Linked DNA regions of Saccharomyces cerevisiae S288C. The protein of the gene in region 4 interacts with the protein of the main gene of each other region in a biochemical or structural test. Each region holds a gene or a part of one and is shown on either strand. Other genes may lie near its edges.

The links.
Region 1: the proteins of FIN1 (region 4) and DSN1 are reported together in a solved structure, tested with the Saccharomyces cerevisiae proteins (one study listed by BioGRID).
Region 2: of the proteins of FIN1 (region 4) and CDC28, one has a biochemical effect on the other in vitro, tested with the Saccharomyces cerevisiae proteins (6 studies listed by BioGRID).
Region 3: of the proteins of FIN1 (region 4) and IPL1, one has a biochemical effect on the other in vitro, tested with the Saccharomyces cerevisiae proteins (one study listed by BioGRID).

What each region holds. Positions count from the first base shown.
Region 1 is NC_001141.2:372,832-378,475, reverse strand, and holds DSN1 (MIND complex subunit DSN1), read right to left. Parts: upstream 3,046-5,644; coding exon 1,315-3,045; downstream 1-1,314. Other genes in the region: STS1 (Sts1p), read left to right, coding at 230-1,189; U2 snRNP complex subunit MSL1, read right to left, coding at 3,616-3,951; DNA primase subunit PRI1, read left to right, coding at 4,170-5,399; EGH1 (hydrolase), read right to left, coding at 5,478-5,644. UniProt on the Saccharomyces cerevisiae protein: Acts as an essential component of the kinetochore MIND complex, which is required for the spindle checkpoint and kinetochore integrity.
Region 2 is NC_001134.8:558,487-563,256, forward strand, and holds CDC28 (cyclin-dependent serine/threonine-protein kinase CDC28), read left to right. Parts: upstream 1-1,591; coding exon 1,592-2,488; downstream 2,489-4,770. Other genes in the region: IFA38 (ketoreductase), read left to right, coding at 199-1,242; mannosylinositol phosphorylceramide synthase catalytic subunit CSH1, read left to right, coding at 3,148-4,278; TOS1 (Tos1p), read right to left, coding at 4,717-4,770. UniProt on the Saccharomyces cerevisiae protein: Cyclin-dependent kinase that acts as a master regulator of the mitotic and meiotic cell cycles. Required to drive the G1-S transition. More than 200 substrates have been identified. Substrate specificity is in part regulated by the bound cyclin protein.
Region 3 is NC_001148.4:155,990-159,787, forward strand, and holds IPL1 (aurora kinase), read right to left. Parts: upstream 1,605-3,798; coding exon 501-1,604; downstream 1-500. Other genes in the region: signal recognition particle subunit SRP72, read right to left, coding at 1-223; RKM1 (protein-lysine N-methyltransferase), read left to right, coding at 1,853-3,604. UniProt on the Saccharomyces cerevisiae protein: Component of the chromosomal passenger complex (CPC), a complex that acts as a key regulator of chromosome segregation and cytokinesis.
Region 4 is NC_001136.10:714,395-719,062, reverse strand, and holds FIN1 (Fin1p), read left to right. Parts: upstream 1-2,440; coding exon 2,441-3,316; downstream 3,317-4,668. Other genes in the region: MRX16 (Mrx16p), read left to right, coding at 1-247; YDR131C (uncharacterized protein), read left to right, coding at 603-2,273; SAC6 (fimbrin), read left to right, coding at 3,684-3,704, 3,816-4,668. UniProt on the Saccharomyces cerevisiae protein: Forms cell-cycle specific filaments between the spindle pole bodies of dividing yeast cells.

The DNA.
Region 1 (5,644 bases), on a different chromosome or scaffold from region 4:
GTGTCGCTATTTGGTGCTGTTTTGGTCTTCAAAAGGCCTCATCTAAAGCCCATCGAATGTATCTCTTTAGTTATTCATAGTGAAAATTTTGCCAGAAAAAGAAACGGCGGGCGGGTGATAATGCGGCGAGTGGGAATTTCTTACTTAAAAATATACTTAACCAAGTATTCTCACTTAGTGTGTTCGAAGGTACCTGGCAAAAGCAACAAACACAGGACAGTATAGCATTATGATGGGGTTTGAATGGGGTTTTAAACCCAGCAGTAAAATAACACAGAGTACAGTCAGTTCACAAGGCACAGGCAATGTAATGATTCCAACTGCTGGAGTGAAACAAAAAAGGCGGTATGCCAACGAGGAGCAAGAAGAGGAAGAACTACCTCGTAACAAGAATGTGATGAAATATGGGGGCGTCTCCAAGAGGAGGCCTCAGCCAGGATCGCTCATCAGAGGGCAGCCTCTGCCCTTGCAACGAGGCATGGAACTAATGAACAAGAACCAATTACAGCAGTTGTTGGTGGATTTGATGACAAAACATCCAGAAATACAACAAAGCGTACATACGAGAGTCATCGGATTAGACTTCAGTATACAAAAGTGTCTGGACATGTTGAAACAAAAATCAGAAGCCGTTTACCAGAGCATACCTTACAATAGGTCTTATGAGAGTAATAAATTAGATGACTATGCTTTCGTGAGAATGAAACCTCAAATTCTGGAGTTCTTAAACTGTTTGGTGGATTTCATACTGGATAACATTCCACCACGTTTGGAAAATTTGCACGCATCATTAAAATTCTTAGACATTTGCACGGAATTAGTTATCAAATTGCCCAGATTTGAATTAGCTAGTAATAATTACTACTACGATAAATGCATTGAACAATTGTCTCACGTATGGTGTACGCTTATTGAACATGTTGCCCGTGACAGGATAATTTTATTAGCAGATAATAGCTCCGTCTGGAAAAGTCATATGACAAGATTACAGGTATACAATGAACATTCAAATGGGTTATTGGAACGCCCACTCCAGCTGTTCAAATCTTTAGATATGGGTAGCCCTTCAGCAGCATCGTCATCAACATTATCACTTCAAGAAAGTATTATTTACCACCACGATACCATGACAGCAAACGAAAACAATAACAATAGTGGTAGCGCTGCTACTGATTCGCCCTTTAACTAAGGATAGAATGGTTCTTTTGCTTTTTCAAATACATTAATATGTATATATATGTATATATAAATGTATGACTGTGTAATGTTACATATGCAGAAGTATCCGATTTTTTTTTGATTTTTTCTTTTATTTCATAAATCCAGTTTTTTACTGAAAGATAAACTTAATCCCTTCAACAGCTGTTGAGGATTAATCACTTGTGAGTGGTCATCGTCCGTTTCGCTTGAGATCTTTCTCATTGTTTCTATGTTCAATTTATTCACTTTTGAATTTGTTATTTCGTTTAAGGCTAGTGAGTGCGAGTTTAATATATGCGACTGGTACCTTAGCTCATCGACTTTTGTTTCTAACTTTGTCTCAACATCTGCAATCGCAAGGTCTGGCTCTTCTGTATCCGACAACGGTTCCAGTGGTTGTGATGAGAATGAAGTCAATTCTTGCCATTCAAGATCTGGTCTCGAAGTGTCTAAAGTGACTGCCCATTCTTTCACTTCATTTTTGATCGCGTTCACCTTGCTCGTTAAAATGCTAAGATTCTTTGTGTTTTCCACGTTTTTGCTATTAGGTAATAGTTTTTTTGGTTCTTTCGGTAGGGCTTTTCTCCTTTCACTAAATTTACGTCTAGACCTCTGTATTTCCGAGTAGTCCACCTCATCGTCGTCGTCGTCGTCGTCGTCGTTTTCCTGAAACAGTTGTCGCAGTTCCGTGTCATCGTAGTTTTCAGTATTATCCAGAATCTTCTCCTCATCTTCATCCTCATATTTTTCCTCATCTTCCCAATCTATCGCAATATGATCTTTTTTAAGATCATCGACAAACTCTTTTATTATCACCATAGCCAGACGTTTGGGATCCACATAATCAGTTTCTGCCTTTGTTGATTCGAGCTTGGATTTTTTGGTCAGATGTTCAAGTTCCCCTTCTTCCTCTTGGTTTTTAGCCTTCAACTCCAATTTATGCAGAGATCTCATTAAACACCAGTTGAAAAGCTGTCGTATTTGTAAATTTTTACCAAAAGACGCATTTCCAACCACGGTGTAAAAATCCTCTTCAGGAATATCCTTGTGCGGAGATATAATAGTGCTTCCCCCATTAGCTTGAGATGCTAACATAGACAATCTTCTACCTCTCTGACTTCCGATTGATTTTTTCCTTTCCCTTGTTCGTTGAATGTAGTGTGGTTGCTGAAGTTGTTGTTGATGGAATGATCCGTACGGAAACAATTGCGGAGCTGGCAGCAATTGTTGTGATGAAGATATATTTTGGGGAGTAGTCATATCGGGACCGCCTGCAGCAGTGGGTTGCGAATAAAAGGGCTGTAATGAGGAGTTGGGCATAATCGAATGCATTGGTGATCCAGGATATGGTATCATTGCAGGAGTTGGTGCATTCATCGGATGGTAGTAATAGTAATAAGGCATATATGGAGCGGGCATTGCACTTGCATTAACATTCGCAGTCGCATTTGCAGTCGCATTTGCAGTCGCATTTGCAGTCGCATCTCCACTATGATTGTCGTCAGCAATTGGCGCAGAAGAATTGAAATTCTCCACTCTCTTGGCCTTTTTTATATCTTGCAGGTTATCCAGCCTTTCGCCCAGAGTAGGGAACCCCTGGATATGTTTATTCTTGTGTCGTTTGAATTTCAAATCGGGGCTCAAATTCGACACGGATTGTTTATTCTCAAAATATTCGGTCTCCTCCTCATCTTTCTGGGTGGGCTCGTTGCTTTGTAGAGTAGCCTTGGAGTCGGATTCCAATATTGGGATAGTTTCCATCCGCAATGGGTATACTTGTTTGTGTGTTCTTTGATGCAGCATCGGCGGCGTACCGGAGACCGTTTGTGTGGGTTCCAGACTCATCCTCTACCTAAATAAAGAAAAATTTGTGTGTGGTACAATAGAAGAGGCCCGGTTTCACAACTCTGCCTGGTACTTTGTGCTTTTATCAATTGGCGGTTCTTTTGATGTTTATTTTGATTTGTTTATCATTTGTGAATTTTTGCTTTTACTAGAAATATATATCATTTTAAACGAAGCCACATATAAACGCTGAACTACACTGTAATTCATCATATAGTAAGCTGTCTTATATACTAAATTATCACTTCCAAAATGTAATAAACGTCTTTTGGCAATGGGGTACTCTGTGGTTTGCCCTTTGTATTATTTAAGCAATTGAAGTGAGGAATAAGCGGCCGTTCTGCAGTATGTCTTTTCGGGAGACTCTTTCTGCTACAGATTTTTGTAGATTCTATATCTACTCCATATTGATACATGCCTTGATATTATTTGTCCGTTGACGACCATCTATAACGCCGGGTTGTTTGGATATAAACATTTTGGTTTGGTTCTGCGCTCTTGACTTTGATGTGCCCCTATGGCAGCTCTTCTCGGTATATACGTGCTGCTATGAATAGAGCGTTAAGCCAGTCATAGTGTTTTAGTTTCACTCTTGCTGAACTCAACTTTCAAAGGCTTACCAAAGAATCGCTCGCCGTTTAATGAAATCTGGGCCAGACTGGCCTGGTCGATGGTTCTCATGGTGATAAAGGCTTGGCCCCGCTGTTTCTTGAAATTCATGCTAACCTTCAGTACCTCTCCAAACGTAGCAAAGAGCAAAAAAAGGTTTACTCGCAGTCGTTGCATATTAATTTTTTCATTAAGCTGGCTCACGTACAGCGTATTTTTAGCTTCCGTTACTGGTTCAGCCACAGTGTGATGAGTATCGCGATCAATCCTCTGCTTTTTCCTTGCTGGTTCAACCATTACTATATCCTACGTGTGAATGATGCGTGAGTTTCGAAACAGTTGCTCGGTCAGTGCCCTTTGCCACTTTTACCTATTGTTTTCTTTCAGTTGAAAAGTTTCATAACGCCAAAAAGATAAAAAATTAATCAAAAATACTTTGAAGCTGAAGAGAAAAGCGTGCCATAATACTAGCAAAAATTAGTTTTAGCAACTCAAAAAACTGTTTTATAAACATCATGACCAATTCAGTAAAGACTAATGGGCCAAGCTCCTCAGACATGGAGTACTACTATAAGTCGCTCTATCCATTCAAACACATTTTCAACTGGCTGAATCATTCGCCCAAACCTTCTAGGGATATGATTAACAGAGAATTCGCTATGGCGTTCAGGTCAGGTGCTTACAAAAGGTATAATTCTTTTAACTCTGTGCAAGATTTCAAAGCACAAATAGAAAAAGCCAACCCAGACAGATTTGAAATCGGTGCCATATATAACAAACCGCCAAGAGAACGTGATACTCTATTAAAAAGCGAATTGAAAGCTTTAGAGAAGGAGTTGGTGTTTGATATTGATATGGATGATTACGATGCCTTCAGAACGTGTTGCTCCGGAGCCCAAGTTTGCTCTAAGTGCTGGAAATTTATATCTTTGGCAATGAAAATTACGAACACGGCCCTAAGAGAGGATTTTGGTTATAAGGACTTCATCTGGGTATTTTCAGGTAGACGTGGTGCTCATTGTTGGGTAAGCGACAAACGGGCACGGGCTTTGACGGATGTACAACGAAGAAACGTTTTAGATTATGTCAACGTGATTAGAGACAGAAATACTGACAAGCGATTGGCTTTGAAGAGGCCTTATCACCCTCATCTTGCTCGTTCTTTGGAGCAATTGAAACCTTTCTTTGTCAGCATTATGCTCGAAGAGCAAAATCCTTGGGAAGATGACCAACATGCTATCCAAACTTTATTGCCTGCATTATATGATAAACAATTGATTGATTCATTAAAGAAGTATTGGCTGGACAATCCAAGGAGGTCAAGCAAAGAGAAGTGGAATGATATAGATCAGATAGCTACATCGCTCTTCAAAGGCCCCAAGCAAGACTCTCACATAATTAAGTTACGTGAATGTAAGGAAGATCTCGTATTGATGACTCTTTATCCGAAGCTGGATGTGGAAGTTACAAAGCAAACAATTCATTTGTTAAAGGCCCCTTTTTGTATTCATCCTGCTACGGGGAATGTCTGTGTGCCTATTGATGAATCCTTTGCACCTGAAAAAGCACCTAAGCTAATTGATCTTCAAACAGAAATGGAGAAAAATAATGATGTTTCATTAACAGCTTTACAACCTTTTATCAATCAGTTCCAAGCATATGTGAGTTCTCTTTTGAAAAATGAACTGGGTTCAGTGAAAAGAGAACGTGAAGATGATGATGAACCGGCTTCTTTAGATTTCTGATGGTGAAATCTTTTTGTAACAATAAAAAGGGTGTATATATATATATATGACTACTATAGCTTTTGGTTCAATTTTTGTTTAGCTGATAACGCATTCCGCTGGTAAGTCATTCGAAGTGTCACTTCCAGGGGTGTTGGGCCTTGACTTCGATTTTGCGCAAATTTCAATGAACTGATGGCCAGGCTCGTGAAACCATTCAAGAACCTGGTAGTCAGTGTTATAGGTATAATGACCTGATGATGAAC
Region 2 (4,770 bases), on a different chromosome or scaffold from region 4:
TAGAGATAATTGTAGGGGCCTTTTGTAATGTTTCGGATGTTCTGTTTTAAGTCCGCGGGAGGCCTTTTTATTTTTCGCTTTTTTAGAGATTTCACGAATAAAAGCGTTGCAGAAATGCAACTTCAAAAGAGACTGAAGGAAACACAGATAGAAGAACAGTCTTCAAAGCAATCAATTCGTGTCGGTGCAGCTTAAGAAATGACTTTTATGCAACAGCTTCAAGAGGCTGGGGAAAGATTTAGGTGTATCAATGGTCTTTTATGGGTTGTTTTTGGGCTTGGTGTCTTAAAATGTACAACGTTATCACTTAGATTTTTAGCTCTTATTTTTGATCTTTTTTTACTACCAGCAGTCAATTTCGACAAGTATGGTGCTAAAACTGGTAAATACTGTGCTATCACTGGTGCAAGTGACGGTATTGGTAAAGAATTTGCTAGACAAATGGCGAAACGTGGCTTCAACTTGGTATTGATCTCGAGAACGCAATCTAAATTGGAGGCTTTACAAAAAGAACTAGAAGATCAACATCATGTCGTTGTAAAGATTCTAGCCATTGACATTGCGGAGGATAAAGAATCCAACTATGAATCCATTAAGGAATTGTGTGCGCAGTTACCAATCACCGTTTTGGTCAATAATGTTGGTCAATCACACTCCATTCCTGTTCCATTTTTGGAAACAGAAGAGAAGGAGCTTAGAAATATTATCACTATCAATAACACTGCTACATTATTAATTACACAAATCATTGCACCAAAGATTGTGGAAACTGTGAAAGCTGAAAACAAGAAGTCGGGTACTCGTGGTTTGATCTTAACCATGGGCTCATTTGGTGGTCTGATTCCCACCCCACTTTTGGCTACATACAGTGGTTCGAAATCATTCTTACAAGGTTGGTCTAACTCTTTGGCTGGGGAATTATCTAAAGATGCTATCGATGTTGAATTAATCATTTCATATTTGGTCACTAGCTCGATGTCTAAAATCAGAAGATCATCTTTAATGATCCCAAATCCACAACAGTTTGTAAAATCCACTTTAAGAAGCGTTGGCAGACGCTGCGGCTCTCAAGAAAGATACGCTACTATGACCCCTTACTGGGCGCACGCAGTGTATCAATTTGTAATTACAGAGACCTTTGGCGTTTACTCTAAGATTGTTAACTCCATTAATTATTCCTTCCATAAATCTATCAGAATTAGAGCCTTAAAAAAAGCCGCAAGACAGGTTAAAAAGGAATAGAATTATCGTTCTCGAGATAGTTTTTATACAATACATATATATATATATATATATATATTTACAAGAAAAGCATGGCTTATGTATTATACTTGCTTATGTACCAATATATACATATATGGCCTTATTAGGGCAACAAACGCCAAAAATAAAAACGAACCTAAATGAGAAAAAAAGAGAAAAATTTGGAAAACAACAAGAACTCAAAAAAAAAAATTGGTGGAAGGACCAAGTCCTCTTGAAAGAAAATTTAATACTGCTTTTCCAGAATATCATATTGGAAAAAATATTCAAGCCAGCACATCAGCTACAGTGGAAAATAGCCCAGATCAAATAGAACTATCCTTCGAACATGAGCGGTGAATTAGCAAATTACAAAAGACTTGAGAAAGTCGGTGAAGGTACATACGGTGTTGTTTATAAAGCGTTAGACTTAAGACCTGGCCAAGGTCAAAGAGTAGTCGCATTGAAGAAAATAAGACTAGAGAGTGAAGACGAGGGTGTTCCCAGTACAGCCATCAGAGAAATCTCATTATTGAAGGAATTAAAAGACGATAATATTGTCAGATTATACGATATTGTTCACTCTGATGCACACAAGCTATATCTTGTTTTTGAGTTCCTCGATTTGGACCTGAAAAGATATATGGAGGGTATTCCAAAGGACCAACCGTTAGGAGCTGATATTGTTAAGAAGTTTATGATGCAACTTTGTAAGGGTATTGCATACTGCCACTCACACCGTATTCTGCATCGTGATTTAAAACCGCAGAACTTATTGATTAACAAAGATGGGAATCTAAAACTAGGTGATTTTGGCTTAGCGCGTGCTTTTGGTGTTCCGTTGAGAGCTTACACACATGAAATTGTTACTCTATGGTATAGAGCTCCGGAGGTATTACTGGGTGGAAAACAATATAGTACAGGTGTCGATACATGGTCCATCGGCTGTATATTTGCCGAAATGTGTAACAGGAAACCAATCTTCAGTGGCGATAGTGAGATCGATCAGATTTTCAAGATATTCAGAGTATTGGGAACGCCGAATGAAGCTATATGGCCAGATATTGTCTACTTGCCTGATTTCAAGCCAAGCTTTCCTCAATGGCGCAGAAAAGACCTATCACAAGTGGTACCAAGTCTAGATCCACGCGGTATTGATTTGTTGGACAAACTCCTCGCGTATGACCCTATTAACCGGATTAGCGCCAGAAGAGCAGCCATCCACCCCTACTTCCAAGAATCATAAGCATTATAATCTATTTCGCTATTATATTACAAATGCTACTGCACTGTCATTATAGCCTAGTAAAGTATATAGTGAATACAATATACTCAGTTTCAACATTATGATGGGTAACTCCATCAGAAAATATATTCATCGTCATATACGGAACATTCAGTTATACGCGAAAGTAAAAGTGAGAGCTTTTCAGGGGTTAAAAGCTGGGCGTGTTCCATGACGTATTTACCGAGGTCGTATTATCAAAGAAAATGAAAAAAAAAAAAAAAAAAAAAAAAGCGAAGAGGAAAAAGACAAACGAAAAACAAAACGAAATAACGCATTGTATGCTGGGGCCTCAATTGAACTTCTTTGACTATAAGGAGTTCGCTTGTTTAAAGCCGTTTCGCATCTGACTCGCCCTTGGTTTTTTTCTCTGTTCTTGTTTTTGACCTCCGCAAATTCATTGCTCTTTGAATTTTGAAGAGTTTCATTGTCACCGTTGAATAACCGAGACGGGTATTGTTTTTATTTCCTTCATTATTTACATCGCAACACGATTTTTATTAGCTTCCTCAAGGAGCGCTGACCGTATATAATATAATTTCAACAACCGAACAAGGCAGTGCGAAGCGGTGCACCTTACAACAGTGCTAAAGTAGTTACAGTAAACCAATTAATACGTGATGAAGAAGGAGTTGAAAATTCTTATAATAGCGAACATTGCATTACTTATCTCTATAATACATTACACATTTGATTTGTTGACGTTATGTATAGATGATACTTCCAAAGATGCGCTAACAGATGAACAGCTGAACCCCCCCAATGGCTTCAATTCAACATTCTATGAGTCTCCTCCTCAACTCATACCGAAAATCATTCATCAAACCTACAAAACAAACGATATCCCAGAACAGTGGGTAAAAGGGAGGCAGAAGTGCATTGATTTACATCCGGATTACACTTACATTTTATGGACGGATGAAATGTCTGATACTTTCATTAAACAGGAATACCCGTGGTTTCTTGACACCTTTAGGAGTTATGAATATCCAATTGAGAGGGCGGATGCAATACGGTATTTCATCCTTTCGCATTATGGTGGTATTTACATTGACTTGGATGATGGTTGTGAAAGAAGGCTAGACCCTTTGTTGAAAGTACCAGCATTTCTAAGGAAAACTTCGCCTACAGGAGTGTCAAATGATGTGATGGGCTCTGTTCCAAGGCACCCCTTCTTCTTGAAGGTCATCAAATCGTTGAAACACTATAAGAAAAACTGGTACATTCCATATATGACAATCATGGGCTCTACGGGCCCCTTATTCATTAGTGTGGTTTGGAAGCAATATAAGAGATGGTCTAATACGGCCGAAAATGGTGCGGTAAGAATTTTACAACCTGCAGATTATAAAATGCATAATAATTCTTTTTTCTCAATATCTAAAGGTTCCTCCTGGCATACGGGTGATGCCAATTTTATGAAAACTCTAGAGAATCACATCTTGTCTTGCGTGGTTACCGGATTCATTTTTGGCTTTTTCATATTATACGGTGAATTTACATTTTATACTTGGCTGTGCTCGGGACCATTTAACAACAAACGCTATTACATTCAGTGGTTGAGTGACAAGTTCAAGTTACACAAGTGGAAACTAACATCGTCTTACAAGAATAAGGAAAAGAGGCGGAATCCTACTCGTCACGAATATAATTCGAGGGGTAAGAGATTAAGAAAAGATTCTAATATCCCCTACGACAGCGTTTTCCTTGATATAGAAAAGAATCACGCAAAATTTACCGACTTAACCTGATTGAATTGCCACTGTTCTACCCCTATAATATTGTGAGCATGGATAAATCTCAAAAACAATGGCGTATAGATATATAACAGGTATTAAATCTTAGTATTTAAGAATTACAAGTAACATGCATTCCTATAAAAATTAAAGAGAAAAAAATTCGATTATAAAATAGTACAATGTCCAGAAGCTTGGTTTTTAATAGTATATAATAAAGATAAAGATAGATAGAGAACATAACTCTAAACTTTAAGAGTGAATTTTTTTTTTTTAGTTTAGTTTTTTTTTTTTTTTTTTTTTACAATAATGTATTGTTCTTGGAAAATAACACAATCTGTTCAAAGTGGACAGAAACCCTAAAACAAAAATAATAACGGGGAAGGAAAAAAATAGCAAGTGAAACATAAATGAAAAAAAGGAAAATTTTATTGGTTAATAAGAAACGATCGACTATGGCAAGGCCGCAGAAGAACCGGACTTGCTCAACCATTGGTCAACGACATC
Region 3 (3,798 bases), on a different chromosome or scaffold from region 4:
CGTACTTGTCATCTATATGTTTGAATTTTTTTAAATAATGTAAAGCCTTTTGATACTTGTCCTGTTGGATAACAGCTACTAAGCAACGTCTAAATACATCCGCTGGATTCTCACATCCAGAATCCAATAGTTTCACGCAAGTCTGTTCGACCTGCGAATGCTCGTCTTGAGACAATTGAATGTTCAATTGAGAGAGCAAATTAGTTAAATTATCTTTAGCCATTTTTTTGCTTTCTTTCATTACTCTTATTATTGATCAGAACCAACTCAACAAAGTAAATCTGCTACTTTAATGCATAGCAATTTTCAGCTTGTTTTCCTCTTTTCTTTCGACAAAGGCGAAAGAAAAGAGGAAAAAATGAACAAGAAAATTTAATCAAATATCGCAATATACGATGCCGAAAAGAGTAATGAAATATTAGAAATGGATACTTAGTATTATGTGATATGTGCGGGAGTGATTAATAGTGCCCTTCAAACGATTCTGTCATACTTTAATTCTATAACCGCTTATTTTCCCAAAAGGGCTTGTTTCTTAGTATCCAAGGATGCATTTTTACGTCTCCAAGGCGCATTCTATCTTTGGGGTCGTATTTTAGTAGTTTAAGTATTAAATCTTGCGCATCCTGAGAAATGTTACTGGGCATTTTGATATCCAGTGCTGCTATCCTTTTATATGTAGTATCTTTCATTTCTTCTTCGAACGGAGGGGCACCGGTCAGTAGTTCAAACGCCAGGACGCCAAGAGCCCATGCATCTATAGTGTGATCATATTCCCTTGACTCCACCATTTCTGGAGAAAGGTAGTCAATTGTCCCACAGACAGTTTTCCTTCTATTTTCTGGCGGATTTATTATACTCCATCCGAAGTCCGTTAACTTAATGACATTATTGAACCCTATTAGTATATTTTCAGGTTTAATATCTCTATGAATAATATTCTTTTTATGCATATAATCTAGGGCATTGGCAATTTGATAAATATAATCTGATGCTAAAATATCGTTGAAGGGTCCGTGTAACCTCAATAGTTTATACATTTCCCCATTGACTAAGTATTCCATTAGCAGGTACACTCTTTTTTCATCATGAAAATAGCCGTATGATTTAGTTAGATTCGGATGATTTAGCGATGTTTGTATTTCTACCTCCCTTCTGAATTGTTTCTGTAAATTATACTTTATTATTTCTTCCTTCTCCATTACTTTCAGTGCGCAAATATATCCTGTACTCCTGTGCCGAACGCAATAAACTTTACCGAATTTACCCTTTCCTAATTTCTTCCCCAGTTCAAAGTCATCGAGTGATAGGGATTTAAATTTAGGTAGCTTCTTATTTTCGTGTATCATTTTGGAAGAAGTCGCTTTCCTTATAGGTGATGGAATTTTGGAGCTTTCCATATCCAAAAACTTCTTATTGTTTACAGGTAATCTGTTCAATTTTTCTCTTACAGGTGAAGGTATTTTTGAATTCGGGTTTCTTTGCTGCGGCGAATGGGATATTCTCCATGGTTTATTGATCCTGGACGTATTTGGTCTTGTTGTGGTCTTTTTCGATGGCGAATTAGCGTTTAGTTTGATATTTACTAAACTATTGCGTTGCATTCCCTTTTTACTTCTTTCTTTTGTTGTATTTCAAAATCCCAGTTTTTTTTGCGCTAAGAATGATCTTGCTTTGTTTATGCATTCACTTGAGCAATTGCATCAGTTGGCCTTAGCTCAAGGTTTTTATAGAATGGTAAACAAATTAAGCGCTTTACAGGAAAAACGCGTGAAGTTAAACTTACTGTTCAATAAGCAATGCTGTATCGGAAAATGGAGCACAAAGGTTATAGATACAAGAGAAGACTATCATGTCATCAGATGCGTTAAAAGCACTACTTCAGTGGGGTGCGTCATTTGGTGTAATAGTGCCAGAGGAACTCAAGTTTTTATATACCGATCTTAAGGGCATTATTTGCGTATGTGAAAAAGATATAGACAATCCCAGCATCAAGATTCCTCCCGAGATTGTCATTTCAAGGAATCTGCCCATGAAGTTTTTTGGGCTAAGTGAATCCACTAAGAATATCAACGGATGGCTGAAGTTGTTCTTCGCAAAAATAAAATTTGATAGGGATAATGATACTATCGTGGACAATGTTCGTGTGAATGATAAATTTAAACCTTACTTGGATGCATTGCCTTCCCGCCTAAATTCGCCCTTGGTCTGGAACCCAAGCGAGTTGAAGCGTTTATCATCTACAAACATAGGGAATTCGATTCATGAAAAGTTCGAAGGTATATTTAAAGAGTGGTTTGAACTGGTCAGTTCTTCAGATATGTTTGACTTGGAAAGAGTGGCAGATGATGTGCAGACCTTCCATAATCTCGATGAGTTGACATATGAGGCTTTGTATGAGAAGATTTTGAAGATAACAGAACTTCAAAGACCAACTATCTGGTATTCTTTTCCTGCATTTTTATGGTCGCACCTTATATTCATTTCAAGAGCATTCCCTGAATATGTGCTAAACAGAAACTGTCCTGACAACTCTATTGTACTGCTTCCCATCGTCGATCTTCTAAATCATGACTACCGTTCCAAAGTCAAATGGTATCCTGAAAATGGGTGGTTCTGTTATGAAAAAATCGGTACCGCCTCCCAATCACGAGAACTATCAAATAATTATGGCGGTAAGGGAAATGAGGAGTTACTCTCTGGATATGGATTTGTTTTAGAAGACAACATATTTGACTCAGTGGCTTTGAAAGTTAAATTGCCATTAGATGTGGTATCTACAATTCTTGAAACAGAACCTAGTTTGAAGCTGCCCTTACTTTCGGATTACACCACTTATGCTTTTGAAAACAAAGACTGTGTCCAGCAAGAAAAGAAGGCTACTCGTAGTGCTACAGACTACATCAATGGGGTGACTTACTTCATTAACATACAAAATGAACAATGTTTAGAACCATTACTGGATCTTTTTACCTACCTTTCTAAGGCCGAAGAGGAGGATCTACACGATTTGAGAGCCCGTTTGCAGGGTATACAAATGCTACGAAATGCATTGCAGAGCAAACTCAACAGCATTACTGGACCACCTGCAACTGATGACTCTTATGCAATTGATCCTTACAGAGTCTATTGTGCTGACGTTTATACTAAAGGTCAAAAACAAATTTTAAAAGAGGCTTTAACGAGGTTGAAAAAACTAGAAAAAACAATGCTGTCAGAGAACAAGCACCAATTGCTAACCATGAGCAAAATTCTTAAGAATGACCCTGCTTTTGCAGAAACTGAATTACCTTCGCTGTTCAGCAACGAAGATGGTGAAGAGGTCATCTTTGAATCTACTTATGATTTATTGATACTTTGGATTCTACTGAAAACGAAAAAGAATTCTTACCCCACCAAATATGAATGGGTTGGACAGCAGTATACTAATTTCAAGCAAACTGCATATATTTCAGATGATGCCAAGGCTTTCCATACTGCATACTTCGAGAAGCAAGACGATGTGGATTTGGCCGAAGTAGATCATGCGATTCAGTTTGTAGTAGACAATTCCTTTACCAGAACTTCATCTACAACCGAAGAGACTATTTTAGTACGTAAGTAGCTTTTCCTTATAGAATGTTAGAGTAGAGTACGTAATTACATCTGCACTTATTTAATAAATGCACTTACTAACAAACTGGGTTCTCATTGGTCAGAAGTGTCCCGGGTATCCGAATATGGCTTCGATGAAATTTTTCGCCATGGAGCTGCGATGCCCGATATTTGTGTATAAAACATGGAAATGAGCTTATATAG
Region 4 (4,668 bases):
TTTGGACATAAACGGCATTAAGATTTCTCAAGTTCAAACTTTGCTAACTGATAAAAATAAATTCAATGACAGGGTCATTGACGTGTCTGATCCACTTGACCTTAGATTTTGTTCTGGTTTAAAGCTTTACTTAAGAAAGTCTCTCTGGAAACTGGCCGTGAAAGATGGCAATATTATGCTGATAGCTATTAAAGCTATAGCATTTAACGGAACTAAGGAATACTACAAGGGATATGAATATCTGTAGGATTAGCTTGATAAAATTACTCTTCTGCCAAGCTTTTAAGTATATGTATGCTCTCCGTTGTATTTTTTATATGCCATTATAGTACTTGAAGTATAACGGAAACCCATTGTAACTCACATTCCTGTAGTAGCTTCTTTTCTTACTTTTTGTAGGCTCTTGTCTCTTTTCTCTTGTTATTTATCAGTTAATATGTAAGAAAAAAATCGACTTCGGGAATTAGGATACAGACACCTCTTAAAACCAGAGATAAAGTAACGTAGAGAAAATAGTAGGATAATGTGTGCAAAAAGAAGAAACTTTGGTGTCTTAAAATAGATAAAAATAACCCTACTGCCAATTTGAAAGGGCCCGAAAAATGTTTGATAAGTTACCTTATGAGATTTTTAAACAAATTGCCTGGAGAATTCCGCAGGAAGATAAAATTTCGTTAACATATGTATGCAAAAGATCCTATGAATCAATTATACCTTTCATCTACCAGAATTTATTTCTTAATGAAACCTATCACATCAATGGTGACTATGATAACTCATTTGGAACCTGTTATTGGTCTGTCCTAAACTTTCACTACATAGATGAAGATGATTCCAATACTAAAAACGACATGTCGAATAGAAGACTAGCTAAAGTGAAATTTAGTTATTTCGAAAGAACATTAGCAGAGTCACCGAAAAGATTATGTCCCTTAATTAATCGAATACGTTGTACATGGCATTTAAATGAAGATGTGATGACAAATGTACTTAAATTGCTATCCGAGTATGGATCCAATTTGAAATTTGTCGATCAATTTGTTCGCTCATCAGTTAACAAGGGGCTAGAACCTTTATCAAAGCAATTAAAAACTCTAACATTAACGCCACCAACGTTAATGCCCACCCATAACAGTGTAAGCGGTTCTTATTTGAATAAAATTGATCGGTTGCTCTTGAAGTGCGATCTATCTCGATTAGAAAAACTTTCCATTCATATAAACGCATTGAAGTACTTCAAAAATACCGGGTCTCCTATGAAGATCAAAGCATTGGTATTAAATTTGCGACCCGACACACTTAACCTTGCGGAGTACGACGCTTCCGATGACTTCTTAAAAGAGCTAGAATACATCGACATATTTGATGCTTCCACCTTAAGGCAGCTAGAGATTTTGTCTTGGTACAGTCGCGACGATTTTCCCTCTGGCGAAGAAGGTGGTTTTGACAGGTTATATGTCAAATGGGGGCTAGAAGGATTTTGGAAATTTCCGAACATTGAGAAACTATCATTAGCGTCATTGGTTTACAGCGAATTTTTTCTAATGAATTGTTTGGCTGTGTTTCACAATTTAAAGATACTGAAACTTGATTACATGGGTAAATTTGACTTCGATGTGTCGTTGATTAACTTCTTATCTAAACAAGTGTGTGGCAAAAAATTACAGCGTTTTGACATACACTGCCAACTAAATCACAGGCTTTTTTTTCCCATGACAGATAACCCACTAACTCGCTTGAATTTCGATGGTTTCTGCCCTTGTTCAACTTGCAAAAATACAATTCACGAGGTCATTCTAAAAAAAATCTTTCCTGAAACCCGGTCAAAACTTTTAAAGAACCCAAATAAGTTCCAAGCCCATAATTTCTTTTACCAAATGTTTTTCGAGAACAAGATCATGCCCTATACAAACATTATTGACAACGAATCACCTGCGATGGGATGGGATTCTGTACCTATTGAAACGTTTGTACGAAAGTTCAATGAAAATCTGCAAAGCACCATAGAAAATACTGAGAATATTACAGTGAATAAAATTACTAGAGAAGATGCCATTAGTTTGTACCACTTATACCTTCATTATCTAAAAGACGTATTTAAAGTTTTTGAGCAAAGTTTGCCGAACTTAGAATATCTAACCATCAACGGTATACCTACAAAAATAATACAAGTGGACGAGTTACAACGATGCGCGGTTCCCCTCTTCTATAATAATGGCTATAAAAGCAACTCTGTTTATGAATTGGTGGACGCAGAAGCTCTATTTAGTTGATACTGTGAGACATGGCGGTTATAACACGTACATAATGATATATACTCTAAATACTGCAAATTGTCAACAAGAGGAAATCAAAACAAATGGATTGTATAGTCTAGTTAGAGCTTTCTCAGTGTTCTCACTGGATTGCAGTGATGTGACATAGTTCAATAAAACAAATTATGAGCAATAAAAGCAACCGCAGGAGTTTACGTGACATAGGGAATACGATTGGTCGAAATAATATACCAAGTGACAAGGACAATGTCTTTGTGAGATTGAGTATGTCCCCTTTGAGGACGACAAGCCAAAAAGAGTTTTTGAAACCACCTATGAGGATATCACCTAACAAGACAGATGGAATGAAGCATAGTATACAAGTAACACCAAGAAGGATTATGTCGCCGGAATGTCTGAAGGGCTATGTCTCTAAGGAAACTCAAAGCCTGGATAGGCCTCAGTTCAAAAATTCGAATAAAAATGTGAAGATCCAAAACTCAGATCATATAACTAATATAATATTCCCTACATCACCAACCAAACTGACATTCAGTAATGAAAATAAAATCGGGGGTGATGGTTCGTTAACGAGAATACGGGCCCGGTTTAAGAATGGACTCATGTCACCTGAAAGGATACAGCAGCAACAGCAGCAACATATTCTCCCATCGGATGCCAAAAGCAACACTGACCTCTGTTCTAATACTGAGCTCAAGGACGCCCCATTTGAGAATGACCTTCCTCGAGCTAAATTGAAAGGGAAGAATTTATTAGTTGAACTCAAGAAAGAAGAGGAAGACGTGGGAAATGGCATAGAATCCCTTACTAAATCGAACACTAAACTGAATTCCATGCTGGCGAACGAAGGTAAGATACACAAAGCTAGTTTCCAGAAAAGTGTAAAATTTAAACTACCTGATAATATAGTGACTGAAGAAACCGTGGAACTTAAAGAAATAAAGGACTTGCTACTACAAATGTTGAGAAGACAGCGAGAGATTGAATCAAGATTATCCAATATCGAACTTCAACTCACGGAAATACCGAAACATAAGTAATCATATCCCTTCTCACATTTTTTACACAGGAAGTAAGCAAGTTATGTTATATTTCCGACACTATAATTAATTCTTAGCAGTTAAAGGTGCTTTGTCTATATTACATTTACATACAGCTTGAGTGATCCTGACCGGATATAGGGTCCTATTTTCTTACGTGAACGGCTTTTCTTCTTGTTCCCGATGGCCTTCATGTGAAAAAGCACTCCTCGGGAGGCGGAAAAATATCAAAAGTACGGGGCGAAGTTTATAATGAAGATTTATCGATATAAATTTTGGTTATTTCAGGAGAACAAGAAAGCTCTTTACACTAAAATTATCAGAGAAGAAGCTGATATATTAGCCCTAAGGAGTACACCAAAACACAATGAATATTGTCAAATTACAAGTATGTATGCCTTTCTCGAATTCCCACACTGCTGAGCACAGTGAAAAAGTTTTTTCTACCTTTTAGGTTGTAATAAACGTTTCATATACTAACAAACTCTTCTGCGATTAGAGAAAATTTCCAATTTTGACTCAAGAGGATCTTTTTTCCACAATTGAAAAGTTCAGAGCCATTGACTTAGATGATAAAGGATGGGTTGAAAAACAGCAAGCTCTAGAAGCGGTGTCCAAAGATGGTGATGCTACTTATGACGAAGCAAGAGAAACCCTGAAGCATGTGGGTGTGGATGCGTCAGGCCGTGTTGAACTGGACGATTACGTCGGGTTGGTTGCAAAATTAAGAGAATCTAAAACAGGAGCTGCTCCACAGACCACTTTCAACGTAGCACCTAACTCAACCCCTATTGTTTCCACTGCTGCCACAGGACTACAGCACAAGGGTAAGGGTACTCAAGCCAAGATTATTGTTGCTGGCTCCCAAACAGGTACTACACATACCATCAATGAAGAAGAAAGACGTGAATTTACTAAACATATCAATAGCGTCTTGGCGGGAGACCAAGATATAGGTGATTTGCTTCCATTTCCTACTGATACTTTCCAATTATTTGATGAATGTAGGGATGGGTTGGTGCTATCTAAGTTGATCAACGACTCTGTTCCTGATACTATCGATACAAGAGTTTTGAATTGGCCTAAGAAGGGTAAGGAATTGAATAATTTTCAGGCTAGTGAAAATGCTAATATTGTTATTAATTCTGCAAAAGCCATTGGTTGTGTCGTTGTTAATGTTCATTCCGAGGACATTATTGAAGGTAGAGAGCATTTGATCCTGGGTTTGATTTGGCAAATTATTAGGAGAGGTTTGTTAAGTAAAATTGATATTAAGCTGCATCCTGAGTTATACCGTCTATTGGAGGATGATGAAACGTTGGAGCAATTTTTGAGGTTGCCTCCGGAGCAAA